2 linked regions of the Arabidopsis thaliana genome follow. The protein of the gene in region 1 interacts with the protein of each later gene in a pairwise test. Each region holds a gene or a part of one and is shown in the gene's direction. Other genes may lie near its edges.

What was found. Proteins that work in one complex are often made in the same cells at the same time.
Region 2: the proteins of AT1G32740 (region 1) and IRX3 interact in a protein complementation assay, tested with the Arabidopsis thaliana proteins (one large-scale study listed by BioGRID).

The regions. Positions count from the first base shown.
Region 1 is NC_003070.9:11,841,268-11,848,055, forward strand, and holds AT1G32740 (SBP (S-ribonuclease binding protein) family protein), read left to right. Parts: upstream 1-3,392; 5' UTR 3,393-3,615; coding exon 3,616-3,668; exon of another isoform or gene 3,669-3,729; coding exon of another isoform or gene 3,730-3,749; coding exon 3,750-3,844; exon of another isoform or gene 3,845-3,916; coding exon of another isoform or gene 3,917-3,932; coding exon 3,933-4,189; intron 4,190-4,281; coding exon 4,282-4,815; 3' UTR 4,816-5,080; downstream 5,081-6,788. Other genes in the region: AT1G32730 (electron carrier/iron ion-binding protein), read left to right, coding at 225-286, 570-657, 876-978, 1,081-1,689; HAF01 (HAC13 protein (HAC13)), read right to left, coding at 5,118-5,477, 5,612-6,788.
Region 2 is NC_003076.8:5,734,851-5,743,790, reverse strand, and holds IRX3 (Cellulose synthase family protein), read left to right. Parts: upstream 1-2,290; 5' UTR 2,291-2,383; coding exon 2,384-2,458; intron 2,459-2,860; coding exon 2,861-3,056; intron 3,057-3,185; coding exon 3,186-3,464; intron 3,465-3,718; coding exon 3,719-3,812; intron 3,813-3,906; coding exon 3,907-4,173; intron 4,174-4,254; coding exon 4,255-4,600; intron 4,601-4,687; coding exon 4,688-4,951; intron 4,952-5,028; coding exon 5,029-5,241; intron 5,242-5,320; coding exon 5,321-5,534; intron 5,535-5,629; coding exon 5,630-5,826; intron 5,827-5,916; coding exon 5,917-6,270; intron 6,271-6,350; coding exon 6,351-6,932; 3' UTR 6,933-7,161; downstream 7,162-8,940. Other genes in the region: BBM (Integrase-type DNA-binding superfamily protein), read left to right, coding at 1-59, 185-235, 366-442, 525-1,249; AT5G17410 (Spc97 / Spc98 family of spindle pole body (SBP) component), read right to left, coding at 7,376-7,499, 7,629-7,768, 7,924-7,998, 8,075-8,137, 8,603-8,710, 8,822-8,940.

The DNA.
Region 1 (6,788 bases):
TGTTCTTGGGTTTTTGATCTGAAAGGATTCGAATTTGTCTTGTATAGTACTTTTTCGTTTTGATTTAGGGTTCATAGGTTTGTGGGTTTGGGTTTTTATTCATGATTTGGTGATTAATCTGTTGGAGATTGTTTAAAGTTTTGAGCTTTAGTATCGAAAGATCAGTTTTTTGAGATTATTGGTGAAGTAATTGTAATTGTATTGCTTGGATTTGATAAATGCAGGTGCCCTTTTCAATCTTGTAAGGGTTGTTGTTCAAGAGCAGAGAATCCCTGCCCGATTCACGGTATGTTTGCCCTGTCAAATCTCAACTTCATAATTAGCTAAAGTGATCAGTTTTAGAGTTTAGTGTTGATAACTTTGATTGGAGAGTTCTATTCTTTCACTTGGTAAGTTTAGAGTTTAGTATTCTTGACTTCTATAGGGTTCGTTTGGTTGTCTCGGGACAAAAAAACCTATAAAGAACCATAAGACTGATTCTTGGAATGTGCTTGTGATTAGCTGAGAGATATAGAGATGTTATCATGGACTGTTTTGTGTTTCTTCTTATGTGTTTTATTTCGCTGCAGTTCTTAAAGTAGCTTCAACGTCTGGTGAGAAGACGCAGGCGCCAAGTACTCCATCTTCAGAGCAGAAAGCAACCGAGGGCACTCCCGGGTACATATATATAAACTAATTTTCTGTTTTGTTTGTGCTTCCATGGGCAAGTGAATCTTAGATGATAAACCGGTGTTTGCTTACTAATACTTTGATAGGAGATTCTTCAGCTTTCTTGTTTTATTGCACGTAGTTGATAGTGAGATGATATATTGGTCTTGTGGAACTAAAATATGGCGCTTTATGTTGACGTTTTCTTCTTTTGGAAATTGTTTCAGGAGTACCACTAGAGTTTCGTCAATCCGGCAACTTTCTAGCAACTTTGCTCAGTTTAATAACCTGAATGCTTCTTCCCGCCAGAGAAAACCTTTGACGATAAAGGTATACTAATTAAGACGTCTTTCATTGACTTTAGTACTCTATGAAAAATCTCCATTTAGTTGTTTTCCTCTTATCAGTTTTTGTTCTGTCTATATTCTATAGGATGCTCAAGCTTTAAACGAGTGGCGGTTTACAAAGCTAAAAGAGTACAGAGACAGAAACATTGAAGTAGAAAATGAAGCTTTTGATCGGTACATGAGTAATGTGAATTTACTCGAAGAAGCATTTTCATTTACATCTGTTCCTGATGAAGAGAGTCATGGAACAGCAGCTCCTGAGCAAAACAAAGAGGAAAATATTGTTTCAGAGCTTAAACTGAGGCTGAGATCGAACTCTGCAAGAACAGAGAGCTTTAAGAAGCGGATCGCGGAGACAGTCAAAGCCGGTTTGGTGAAGCTTAAGAGACTGGATTTAGGCAGTTCTTCAGATGATCAAGATGATATCAAAAGGCGGGTCAAAAGAAAGAAATGGGAAGAGAAAGGTTCAGCTTTGAATGAAATAATCGATAAACTGAACAAAGCAAGAACCGAAGAGGATCTCAAATCTTGCTTAGAGATGAAATCAAAGCTCTGTGGTCAAGTTTCTCCCACTGCTGCTTCCGAGAAGAACAAGATCTTTCCGGGTGTAGTCCGAAAAGTTGAGATGAGTGAAGAAGCACTTCAAAAAATCGCTGAGAATCTCCAATCTTTTGACAAAGTTGGAATGTTGTGAAGTCGAGAACATCCTGTGGATGAACTGAAAAGTTTGAGTGGCAAGAAAATTTCTAGATCCTTCGTGACCACGGTATTGTACAATGATCAAACATCCCTCAAAACTGATCCTGAAGACTCCAAAGACTCAAGAGATTCTTGTAAAGTAGTGTTGAGCATCATTTAGATATTAGAACTCAGCCATGGATAAAGCTGTTGATTCTATCTCATTGGATTTTTTTCACTGTGTGTTGTTGCTTTGTTAGATTTGAAATTGCTCATTGGATTACCTTTGACTTAATAAATAGTTGGTTTGGTTTGGTATTGGATAACCGCTCAGTCTAATTAGACCGGTTTGTTTTTTTGGAAAAAAATGAATCCATCCATCCATAGGCCACTTTCAACACGTATATTTGAAAACGACTAAAACCAAACTCTTAGATTCTAGTTTTGTTTTGCTGCCCCAATTCCACTATTGATCAAAACATATCCAAAAGTTTTTGTGGAACTAAAAAGTAAAAATAACGTTTAGTTTGTTTCCAATTTCAACCATATATATCTTATTCATATATGCATGTTGTGGTTGTCTCGTGTGTGTAGTATTCATTTACATTATGCAAACCAACTGGAAACATGTTGAATGGGTTATGGGTTGGTGGTTGGGACTTGAGGATCAAACAACTCAAATGAGCTCATTATAAGTTAAGCTCTCAATAATCATTAATTTATTTTTGTTACCACCTAATATTTCTACGAAGGGTTGGTGTAACAATTTTTAATTGTAAGATAATTGTGTAATCATTTTCAATATTAATTTTTATTATGTATTTATTTTAAAAAGTTATATAATACGTAACACATTTAGTACTTGGTTTTGGTAGCTTCATCAATGTACCATCCGAAGTTCCAAAAAATAAAAAAAAATGTCGATTTCACCGTTGGTGAAAAAGAAACTAAATTGATATGTATTATTCATTTTTTAGAAGAGATTATGGGTTTAAATCTGAAACTTCTTAGTTAAATTTTTAATTAATTTATTTATTTTGCATGCTTTATTATATATTTGAAATTAGAATCTACATGATTAATGATTTTTTTCTCAGATAGAATAAAAAATATATTTACTGATAAATTATTCTTTTACATCTTTCCGGATTCGCTACTAATGTGTTTTTGTTAACTTTAACCAGATTGCTTATGGATTATGATATATAGTATCCATTACTTAAAAAGTAAAAGAGATGAAAAACCAAGAATAATTAATGTCACCAAACTATCAACAACAACAAAAAGAGAGTGTAATATTCAAGATAAACGAATCCTATTATATAAAAAAAGGTGGGAAGAAGTTGCTGTCTAATGATGTAATTATGTTAACTAGTGTGCTAAGGAAAGAAATCAAGCAAGTCTCACACATACACATGTTATGACTTATGATTAGCGACAAGCATTTCATTTTATTTTATTTTTGCTAAGCAAACCTTTTGTTTAGTAAAATAGACAATGTGCAAAAAATTCCAAACTTCTTAAATTGAAAAAAATACTATATTTAAATTTACCTTTTTAAGTAAGAAATTAAAAGATTTTGTAGTACACTACATGTTTTAAAACAACCACTATCCAAACAAAAACTTGGTCACCGAATAAACTGTAGAAATATCGATTTCCGTCATTTAAATTCACTTTATTTTTGGTTGTTTTTTTCTTGGAATATGCAAGAGTAATGGCGTGGTTGAAGACACGAGAGAGAGAGAGAGAATCCTAAAGAAAAAGCCAAAGCATATTAAGAAGAAGAGAACCAAAACGAACAAACCCAACCCTAAAGAAACACTATTATTAAACCTATATTTATAGACATTTAAAGAGAGAGTGAAAGGTGCAGAAGAAAACAGAGACAGAGTTCAAATACCTTAAGATCACATCATCATATAGCTTTTGTATCATTAAAATGGCAGTTCAAGCTCAACACCATTCCTCCAATCTCCTCTTCCTCAATAAAAGGTTCATTTTCTCTCTGTAAATTCATTATTTGCTTTTAGTTTTGCTTATTGATTACGGTTTTATGTTTCTTTGTGTGAACAGAAACGGGAAAGAGAAAGAACATAGTAATTTTACATTACAATCACAAGCAGCTGGAGATTTTCTTGATCAAACCAATATGTTATTCAACAATGGAAGTTCGTAAAAGTTCTCTTGTTTTTTCCATTAAAATTTACCAAAATTAGGAGACAAAATGAGAATGTGTGTGTATGTCTCTTATTATAGGTTCTAATCAGAGAAAAAGAAGAAGAGAAACGAACAATCATCAGTTATTACCTATGCAGTCTCATCAGTTTCCTCAAGTTATAGACTTATCTCTATTACACAACTACAATCATCCACCGTCGAATATGGTTCATACAGGACTCCGATTATTTTCCGGCGAAGATCAGGCACAAAAGATTAGTCACCTGTCTGAAGATGTTTTTGCTGCACATATCAATAGGCAAAGCGAAGAACTTGATGAGTTTCTTCATGCCCAGGTTTTGATTTCGTACGAGACGATTTGGGTTACGCAAAAGTTTTGATTTTGTTCTCATCGGAAAAAGTGTAAAACTTTTTTTCTTTTGTATAGGCGGAGGAGCTACGGCGTACATTAGCGGAGAAGAGGAAGATGCACTATAAAGCGCTTCTTGGTGCCGTGGAAGAGTCGTTGGTTCGTAAGCTGAGGGAGAAAGAGGTAGAGATAGAGAGAGCCACGCGCCGTCACAATGAGCTGGTGGCACGTGACTCGCAGCTGAGAGCGGAGGTGCAAGTATGGCAAGAGAGAGCTAAAGCGCACGAAGACGCCGCCGCGTCGCTGCAGTCTCAGCTCCAGCAAGCCGTTAACCAATGCGCCGGTGGATGTGTATCGGCGCAGGATAGTAGAGCGGCGGAGGAAGGGCTATTATGCACCACAATCAGCGGAGTGGATGACGCCGAGTCGGTGTACGTGGATCCGGAGAGAGTAAAGCGGCCGAATTGCAAAGCTTGCCGGGAAAGAGAGGCAACGGTGGTTGTGTTGCCGTGTCGGCATCTGAGCATCTGCCCGGGATGTGACCGGACAGCTTTAGCTTGCCCGTTGTGTCTCACGTTGCGGAATTCAAGTGTTGAAGCTATCTTTTGCTAAATGGGCCTAATTCAAGCCCATTAGGTTGTTATCGTAAATAGAACTTAGTAGGTAACACAAATATAAATTTCATTGGTATATGATATACCGTATATCGAATCCACTAGCTATTAAGGAAGCCCTCTAAATTTTACAACAAAAGAAGTTTTTTTTTTTTTTTTTTACTTTTCATTACTTGGGATTCTTTACACAGATATGGGATATGGAAATGTTGCTATTCGTACAAAATAGTTAACTAAGCTAAGAAACCCATTTTTGGGGGGCCTAAAGAAAGGGTTACAGATTTCTATCTTACAAATTTCTCAGTCATTGGGATCTATACCTTTCTCTGCTTCTTTTAACTGATCTTCATAATCGTCCAACAAGTAATCACAAATCTCCAGTAACTGATCTGCCAAAGGTGGTATTCCTGGGTTACGCCCATCGTTGTAAAGATGAGCATTGTACTTTATCTGCCAGACATCGTGTCTAAACTGTTCTCGGTTTCTGTACTCTATCTTCCGTACCTTATCTCGGATTGTCGAGAGATCCATCGGGTTTTCCACGATATCAAGATAATCTGGAGCTTCCTTCTTGGATACCGGTTTCAAGAAGAGACGTGACACTTCTTCTTTTAGTCTTAGTGTGTCCACTATGCGTTCCAAGATGTTTGCTAGGCCAACCTGTTGGTAATTGAATTGAGGAGAGAAAACAAACAAAGGTTGAGGTTATGTAGACATATGAAAGCATGCTACGTGGCTATAGAGCATTTACTTCAACTGAACAAAGTGAAATATGGAAGCAAAGAGAATTTTACCTCTCCTTTTTTGCGTCGTTTTGGTTGAGGCGCATATTCTGCACCATCTCTTTCAAAGTCGGACACATAGCGGCTTCTGACGTTTCGACCTCTTTCTGACAATCTTCTATCGTTTTTTCGAGGAGGATAGTCTTCTAGATACCCTTCTACAATTTCGGGTTGCAGTTTCTTTTTCTTCTTTTTCTTCTTGGCTTTTTGTCGTTCCTCTTCCTCCCTCTCACTCCGTATTACCTCTTCGTATCTTCTGATCTCAGCTATCTCATTGGGTTCTTCTGATACACTCATATCATCATAATCTCTTCTCGCCCTTACTTCCCTATGTCTTCCCGTACTTATCTCCTCTTCTTCCCACCATACTCTATCCTCTTTCGGTCTCCGCTCCAGAGAATTCTCTGACAATCTAAAGCTCTGCTGCCTCTGAAAACCCGCCAGTTCTGCCATTCTTTTTGTTTTCCGGGACTCAAACCGTGGACTCTCTTCAAGACTACTCATGTCATGATCATTCATCTCTTTCGAACGTTTTATAACAAGTTTCTTCTGAGGCTGTTCTCTTTCTGTCGGTGGTCGTATCACAAGATGAGGCCTACGCGATTCAGCTTGATCTGTGTCCATACTTAATGATGGCCGCGGGATAGAAATAGTGTGCCTGCTTGAGGCTGCCTGATTTCTCTCTGTACTAGACAAGGGTTGTCCAGAGACGGAAGGCTTGTGTGATTCGCTCTCCCCTCTCTCTCTGCTAAATGTAGGCATCAATGAATGTGAACGTCTCTCAGATTCACCCTTTGATTCTTTAGGTTTTGCCTTACTTGAAATCTTGAGTTTGCTGATCTTAGATGTGGACTTAATCCCAGTGTCTATGTCAGACACCACCGCTTGCTCAGAACTTCCTGGAGCTTCAGAAACAGGTTTATCTGACAAATCTCCAGCGGGGATACCATATCTAAACTTCAGAGGGAGACCCCCAGTTTTGGAACTTAACTTATCTCCCTTCAGAGCTTCATCTACAGAAGTTTTCATTGCACTTTTTGGCGCAGCTTTGCTGTTCTTAATAGGTTTCAGCTTGGGCAGACCTGATGGTTCTGAAGAACTCGGTTTTCCGGCAGACTTATCCATATCTATGCCTTCGGGTTGTGATTCTGTATTTTCCCTGTATCTTGGGCAGTGTTTATTGGTTCTC
Region 2 (8,940 bases), on another chromosome or scaffold:
AAAGAGGTAGAAGAGATGAAGCACATGACGAGGCAAGAGTATGTTGCCTCTCTGCGCAGGTACAGAATGAAACTCTTGAATTTATTGCATTTTAGAAACCCATCACGTATATATTTATTAAAATATATCGTAACATTGAATAAATCATTATTTGGAAAGATATAAGAAACATGTAAATATGCAGGAAAAGTAGTGGTTTCTCTCGTGGTGCATCGATTTATCGAGGAGTAACAAGGTACGTATAATCCATCTAGATATGGAACGAATACAGTGTTTCATTATTTTTTTTGATGTATACATAATAATTGTCATACAATACTATTAATCTAATCTAATTAATATTTCCTTTAAAATGGTTCCAAAAGGCATCACCAACATGGAAGGTGGCAAGCTAGGATCGGAAGAGTCGCCGGTAACAAAGACCTCTACTTGGGAACTTTCGGTACATTTTCCAATAAAATCTATATACTATAAGATATTAAATATACACAAATATATCTAAGTGAATCATACAAATTATGTAGGCACACAGGAAGAGGCTGCTGAGGCTTATGACATTGCAGCCATTAAATTCAGAGGATTAAGCGCAGTGACTAACTTCGACATGAACAGATACAATGTTAAAGCAATCCTCGAGAGCCCGAGTCTACCTATTGGTAGTTCTGCGAAACGTCTCAAGGACGTTAATAATCCGGTTCCAGCTATGATGATTAGTAATAACGTTTCAGAGAGTGCAAATAATGTTAGCGGTTGGCAAAACACTGCGTTTCAGCATCATCAGGGAATGGATTTGAGCTTATTGCAGCAACAGCAGGAGAGGTACGTTGGTTATTACAATGGAGGAAACTTGTCTACCGAGAGTACTAGGGTTTGTTTCAAACAAGAGGAGGAACAACAACACTTCTTGAGAAACTCGCCGAGTCACATGACTAATGTTGATCATCATAGCTCGACCTCTGATGATTCTGTTACCGTTTGTGGAAATGTTGTTAGTTATGGTGGTTATCAAGGATTCGCAATCCCTGTTGGAACATCGGTTAATTACGATCCCTTTACTGCTGCTGAGATTGCTTACAACGCAAGAAATCATTATTACTATGCTCAGCATCAGCAACAACAGCAGATTCAGCAGTCGCCGGGAGGAGATTTTCCGGTGGCGATTTCGAATAACCATAGCTCTAACATGTACTTTCACGGGGAAGGTGGTGGAGAAGGGGCTCCAACGTTTTCAGTTTGGAACGACACTTAGAAAAATAAGTAAAAGATCTTTTAGTTGTTTGCTTTGTATGTTGCGAACAGTTTGATTCTGTTTTTCTTTTTCCTTTTTTTGGGTAATTTTCTTATAACTTTTTTCATAGTTTCGATTATTTGGATAAAATTTTCAGATTGAGGATCATTTTATTTATTTATTAGTGTAGTCTAATTTAGTTGTATAACTATAAAATTGTTGTTTGTTTCCGAATCATAAGTTTTTTTTTTTTTTGGTTTTGTATTGATAGGTGCAAGAGACTCAAAATTCTGGTTTCGATGTTAACAGAATTCAAGTAGCTGCCCACTTGATTCGATTTGTTTTGTATTTGGAAACAACCATGGCTGGTCAAGGCCCAGCCCGTTGTGCTTCTGAACCTGCCTAGTCCCATGGACTAGATCTTTATCCGCAGACTCCAAAAGAAAAAGGATTGGCGCAGAGGAATTGTCATGGAAACAGAATGAACAAGAAAGGGTGAAGAAGATCAAAGGCATATATGATCTTTACATTCTCTTTAGCTTATGTATGCAGAAAATTCACCTAATTAAGGACAGGGAACGTAACTTGGCTTGCACTCCTCTCACCAAACCTTACCCCCTAACTAATTTTAATTCAAAATTACTAGTATTTTGGCCGATCACTTTATATAATAAGATACCAGATTTATTATATTTACGAATTATCAGCATGCATATACTGTATATAGTTTTTTTTTTGTTAAAGGGTAAAATAATAGGATCCTTTTGAATAAAATGAACATATATAATTAGTATAATGAAAACAGAAGGAAATGAGATTAGGACAGTAAGTAAAATGAGAGAGACCTGCAAAGGATAAAAAAGAGAAGCTTAAGGAAACCGCGACGATGAAAGAAAGACATGTCATCAGCTGATGGATGTGAGTGATGAGTTTGTTGCAGTTGTGTAGAAATTTTTACTAAAACAGTTGTTTTTACAAAAAAGAAATAATATAAAACGAAAGCTTAGCTTGAAGGCAATGGAGACTCTACAACAAACTATGTACCATACAGAGAGAGAAACTAAAAGCTTTTCACACATAAAAACCAAACTTATTCGTCTCTCATTGATCACCGTTTTGTTCTCTCAAGATCGCTGCTAATCTCCGGCCGTCCCTATGGAAGCTAGCGCCGGTCTTGTCGCCGGTTCTCATAACCGTAATGAACTAGTCGTCATTCACAACCATGAAGAGGTTTTTCACATTTACTTTTTCTCATCACTTACCAAAGTTTTTTTTTACCAACGCTAGTAAAATATTATTGCATTTTTTCGTTTTATTTGGTTACTATTTTTTAAAAATTCGTATGTTTTGGGAATAAAAATATGATCATTTTTTAAAATCATCTTCTTATTATGAGACAAAAATTTATAATCTGTATTCTGTAGTTGCAATAATGTTGTAGAAAATTCATATCTTTGTTAGCAAACATAATAATTTTGTTGGTAATATTAAGTTGAGAAGTCAGGTTTAACCATTTTAATCGCTGTCATTTTTTTTATTATCTTTACTTCATTAGAATCTTTTTTTGTTGATTAGAAATTTCAGGTTTTATTTCGTCTTTAAGGAACTTAAACTTTTGTGTAATTATAACAGCCAAAGCCTCTGAAGAATCTAGATGGACAATTCTGTGAGATATGTGGAGATCAGATTGGTTTAACAGTAGAAGGAGACCTCTTCGTAGCTTGCAATGAGTGTGGTTTTCCGGCGTGTAGACCTTGCTATGAGTACGAGAGAAGAGAAGGAACACAAAACTGTCCTCAGTGTAAGACTCGTTACAAGCGTCTCAGAGGTAAGTTATTTATTAATCTCCCTCTGCTCTTGTGTTGTTCGACGAAATGCCTCTATGAAAATTTAAAAAGGCTGTTCCTTTTTTTAGTTTGAACTTGGAGAGTAATGATCTGTTTTTTGGTTTCTGAAGGAAGCCCAAGAGTGGAGGGAGATGAAGACGAAGAAGATATTGATGATATTGAGTATGAATTTAATATCGAACATGAACAAGATAAGCATAAGCATTCTGCTGAGGCTATGCTTTATGGGAAAATGAGCTATGGAAGAGGTCCTGAGGATGATGAGAATGGGAGATTCCCACCTGTTATAGCTGGTGGTCATAGTGGAGAATTTCCAGTTGGAGGAGGTTATGGTAATGGAGAACATGGGCTTCATAAGCGTGTGCACCCATATCCATCATCTGAAGCTGGTGAGTCTCATGGAAATGTTAACTTACATATAGATTTAAGAATGTCTCACAGTGATGATTAGTTAGGGTCATGCATATCTCCATATGTGCAAATAACATAAGTATGAGGCCTTCCAGCTTAATAGTAGATAGGGACATAGTTTCATAAACATGGACTTTGGGTTCTATTACATTCTTTCTATGAAATTCATCAGCAGACCCTTTTTCTAACAATACTTTCCTTTTTGTTTATGTGTGTAATTTTAATGTGGTAGGGAGTGAGGGAGGATGGCGGGAAAGAATGGATGACTGGAAGCTCCAGCATGGAAATCTTGGGCCAGAACCAGATGATGATCCTGAGATGGGACTGTAATGCCTCCACAAACATTTATCTAAGACATCAGTTTTGTATGATTTGGATTCATGCTTACAAAATTTTGGATTTGACTGGAAATGGCTGTAGGATCGACGAGGCACGGCAGCCACTCTCGCGGAAAGTTCCCATTGCCTCAAGCAAGATCAATCCATATCGGATGGTCATCGTCGCTAGGCTTGTGATTCTAGCAGTTTTTCTGCGGTATAGGCTCTTGAATCCAGTGCATGATGCTCTGGGATTATGGCTGACCTCTGTGATCTGTGAAATCTGGTTCGCTGTCTCTTGGATTCTTGATCAGTTCCCCAAGTGGTTCCCTATTGAACGTGAGACCTATCTAGATCGGCTTTCCCTCAGGTAAAATCCACAGATTCTCAAGTAGAAGTCTTAAAATCTATGACGTTGGAGTTTGGATGTAAATATTTTTTGTTTATACAGGTACGAGAGAGAAGGTGAACCAAATATGCTTGCCCCTGTAGATGTCTTTGTCAGTACGGTGGACCCATTGAAGGAGCCTCCCCTCGTCACATCCAACACTGTGCTGTCAATCTTGGCCATGGACTACCCAGTTGAGAAAATCTCCTGCTATGTCTCTGACGACGGTGCTTCAATGCTTACATTCGAATCTCTCTCGGAAACTGCTGAGTTTGCAAGAAAATGGGTTCCCTTCTGTAAGAAATTCTCCATAGAGCCACGGGCACCGGAGATGTACTTCACGTTGAAAGTTGATTATCTCCAGGACAAAGTCCACCCAACATTTGTTAAGGAACGTCGAGCCATGAAGGTCAGTGTATATCACCTGATCTAGTTATACCACCACCCATCTTTTCACTATAATCTAAACTTCATAAGTGAAATTGACATATGACAGAGAGAATATGAGGAGTTCAAGGTCAGGATCAACGCTCAAGTGGCGAAGGCCTCAAAGGTTCCTCTAGAAGGTTGGATCATGCAAGATGGAACACCGTGGCCAGGGAACAACACCAAGGACCACCCCGGTATGATCCAAGTCTTCCTCGGCCACAGCGGAGGATTTGATGTCGAAGGGCATGAGCTTCCTCGGCTTGTGTACGTGTCCCGTGAGAAGCGTCCTGGTTTTCAACACCACAAGAAAGCTGGCGCCATGAATGCCCTGGTAATTTTCTTGATCTGCCTTGGACCAAACAAGAAACTGATCTCCGTGTCTTGGACCTAACCTGATACTTCTGTCAGGTTCGAGTGGCAGGCGTACTCACAAATGCTCCTTTCATGCTGAACTTGGACTGTGATCACTATGTAAACAACAGCAAGGCCGTGAGGGAAGCAATGTGTTTTTTGATGGATCCTCAGATTGGAAAGAAGGTCTGCTATGTTCAGTTCCCTCAAAGGTTTGATGGCATTGACACAAACGATCGTTACGCCAACAGAAACACAGTCTTCTTTGATGTAAGACTCAATTCATATTTTTCCAACTTCTGGTCTAAATGAAAATGTACCCTCTTGCTTACACTCTTGTTTGCTACAGATCAATATGAAAGGTCTAGATGGAATCCAAGGTCCAGTTTACGTTGGTACTGGTTGTGTTTTCAAACGACAAGCTCTGTATGGTTATGAACCACCAAAGGGTCCTAAACGTCCAAAGATGATAAGCTGTGGTTGTTGTCCTTGCTTTGGGCGCCGGAGAAAGAATAAGAAATTTTCCAAGAATGACATGAATGGTGACGTAGCAGCCCTTGGAGGTAAATTATCCCAACAACCTTATAATATCAGTCCATTCTTGCAGTAGATTTCGTTTATGTTGGAATCTTGCGGATCTGATAGTGTTTTTTGGCAGGAGCAGAAGGTGATAAGGAGCATTTGATGTCTGAAATGAACTTTGAGAAAACATTTGGGCAATCATCCATCTTTGTAACCTCAACTTTGATGGAAGAAGGTGGTGTTCCTCCGTCATCAAGTCCTGCAGTGCTCCTTAAAGAGGCAATCCATGTCATAAGCTGCGGTTATGAAGACAAGACTGAGTGGGGAACTGAGGTAATAATACTGAATCGTAGAAATCACCTTCTTATTTGTGATTTAGTAGCTGGCCATTGTAAAAAACGTTTGTGTATCTCGAAATTGCAGCTGGGTTGGATCTATGGCTCTATCACAGAGGATATTTTGACGGGATTCAAGATGCATTGCCGTGGATGGAGGTCTATTTACTGCATGCCTAAGAGGCCTGCATTCAAAGGTTCAGCTCCTATTAATCTATCAGACAGGTTAAACCAGGTTTTGCGTTGGGCACTTGGATCGGTTGAGATATTTTTCAGCCGGCACAGTCCTCTCTGGTATGGCTACAAAGGAGGCAAACTCAAGTGGCTTGAGCGTTTTGCTTATGCCAACACAACAATCTACCCCTTCACATCTATACCACTTCTTGCCTACTGTATCCTTCCAGCCATCTGTCTCCTTACTGACAAATTCATCATGCCACCGGTTAGTAAAATTATCAGAGAAAAGCACTTAGAAGCTGCATCAAATGTGCTAACTATCTGTTTTCCCAATTTTTCTTTCAGATAAGCACATTTGCTAGTCTCTTCTTCATCTCACTGTTTATGTCGATCATTGTAACGGGAATCTTGGAATTGAGATGGAGCGGAGTTAGCATTGAGGAATGGTGGAGAAACGAGCAATTCTGGGTCATTGGAGGAATCTCAGCTCATCTCTTTGCGGTTGTCCAAGGTCTCCTCAAAATCTTAGCAGGCATTGACACAAACTTCACCGTCACATCAAAGGCAACAGATGATGATGACTTTGGAGAACTTTACGCATTCAAATGGACAACACTGCTGATCCCTCCAACAACTGTCTTAATCATAAACATTGTTGGCGTTGTTGCAGGCATCTCAGATGCCATTAACAATGGATATCAGTCTTGGGGACCTCTATTTGGTAAACTCTTCTTCTCCTTTTGGGTCATTGTTCATCTCTACCCATTCCTCAAAGGTCTGATGGGTAGACAGAACAGAACACCAACCATTGTGGTGATTTGGTCAGTGTTATTGGCATCTATCTTCTCTTTGCTTTGGGTAAGAATTGATCCTTTTGTGCTCAAGACCAAAGGACCTGACACTTCCAAGTGTGGCATCAACTGCTGAAGCAAAATCTTTTTCGTCTTCTGAAACTTTTTCTGTACTTTGTCGAGAGTGTTTTCACTTCTCTCTTTGGATTGCATAATTGGATTTTGTTTATTGTATATTAGCCAGTAAAACAGATGGATCTGGGTTTATTGTGAGCGAGTAATGCATTGTAAGAAAATTTGAACAAAACTACTTTTTAGTTACACAGTAAAAGATTCACAGATACTTCCCTCAAGAGACATGTAGTTGCAGTGAAAACCCACAAATCTTGAATGCAAATTTTTAACAGAGAGCCTGAGACTTGTTCTTATATCGTGGAGTTCACAAACAAAATAAAGAAACGACAACAAAAGCCTAAACACACGCACACATCTCATAACAACTTCTCAAGCTGAATATCATTTGATAACATTAAAAAACAAATTGAATTGCCTGAGTTTGTTTAGTTAAAGTCTCACCTCTTATTCTTTCGAAACACCAAGGATCCACTGGGAGAGATGAGTCAAGTATGGCTCAGCCTGGGAGCCTTTGCTCAAGACTGGTCCTAAGCTCTGCAACTCCGAGTTGAACTCCCTTTCGAAATTGCTGGTAGAACACGTAACAGACATATTAGAACAATACCGTGATAATGAAGTTCAAAAATTCTAACAGCAACGGCTTTTGTAGAGATAGTGTAGCCATTAGTTTGAAAAACAATTCCTTGTTACTACTTACAATATGGACTCTGTAACGGTTGTGTCTCTTATCATTGTCTTCTGTGGATGAGACTGGCTATTGATGTCGATAGACGATGATATCAACCACTGTGTGGCTGCAGCATATTGCAGACACACTGATTTCAACTTCTCCATTTTCTGCACCATCAGTAAATATGAGTGTAAAATATTGATAAACATTACACTATTATTAGTGCGTTCAGAATTTTTGCTCTTGTTGCACGAAAGAGAAGCACATCACACTGTTACATCTGTCCTGAGAAAACATAACATTTAGTGGAACAGCGACAAACCTTAAGGACGTCAGGTAAAAGAAGCAAGCATCCTCTCAGACATTTATCAAGAAAAAAGTCGTGATGTTGTATCACCTGCAAGATGATGGCACATTGTTCAATGAAGAATGTTTTCCCTGCAAACCAAAACAAAGCAGGTCTCTACACTTACCTCATCTACACTCCTTGTGGATTGTAGTCTATCGTGCATTACATGCCAATTTGGTTCGAGAACCTGAAGAGACATCCCACATAAAGACAAGCAAAAACAACATTAGAAAAACTTAGAGAGGCAATAGTTGCTAAAATAAACACCAAATCATCTCATAAAGAATTATGTCTTTATATACTTCTGGTGTGATTTCTCTCCTCTGTTCATTGATAGTGTACTTATTTCTCCAGAATCACGTTTTCAAGAATGTATTTCTCGAAAAACACAGTTGCAAGAAGTGCCTACATTTGTAAGTATGGTTTTTACGACTACAGAGATATCTGGATTCAATATACAGAGTGTATGTCAGCAATTCTAGAAGTTAGTTTTCCAGAGACTTACACCGCAAAATCACAATGGAAAACAGGATCTATGAATAGACAATCAGAATCTTTAAAAAACAAAAAAATATTCAGATTCCATTCTATTAGCAAAAAAAAATGTTTTAAAAAACAAACAAAACAAAACAAAAAGAACATTCAGACTTGCCTCGAATGTAAGATAATGTAGAAGGCTACTGATGAATTTAAGCATGCTACGGCAGAGAAGCGATGATCTAAGAATTGCTGTACCCTTAGAGTTCATAGACCGAATCCCCTGTAGAATTTTCACAGCAGTTTGTTAGCGAAGCAAAATGATTAAAATGGTTTTAGAAGAAACCAAAACTGAAACAAATTACAAGCTACACAATATTATATCAGTCCTTACTTGATGTATCTGCCAAGCACCACAAAGCTGGCGTTCCACATGTTTGCAATGAAAAAGAAAGCGGAAAATTAACTGGTACTTTGACAATGCTTTCTTTGATATGACAATAGATAGTGGCC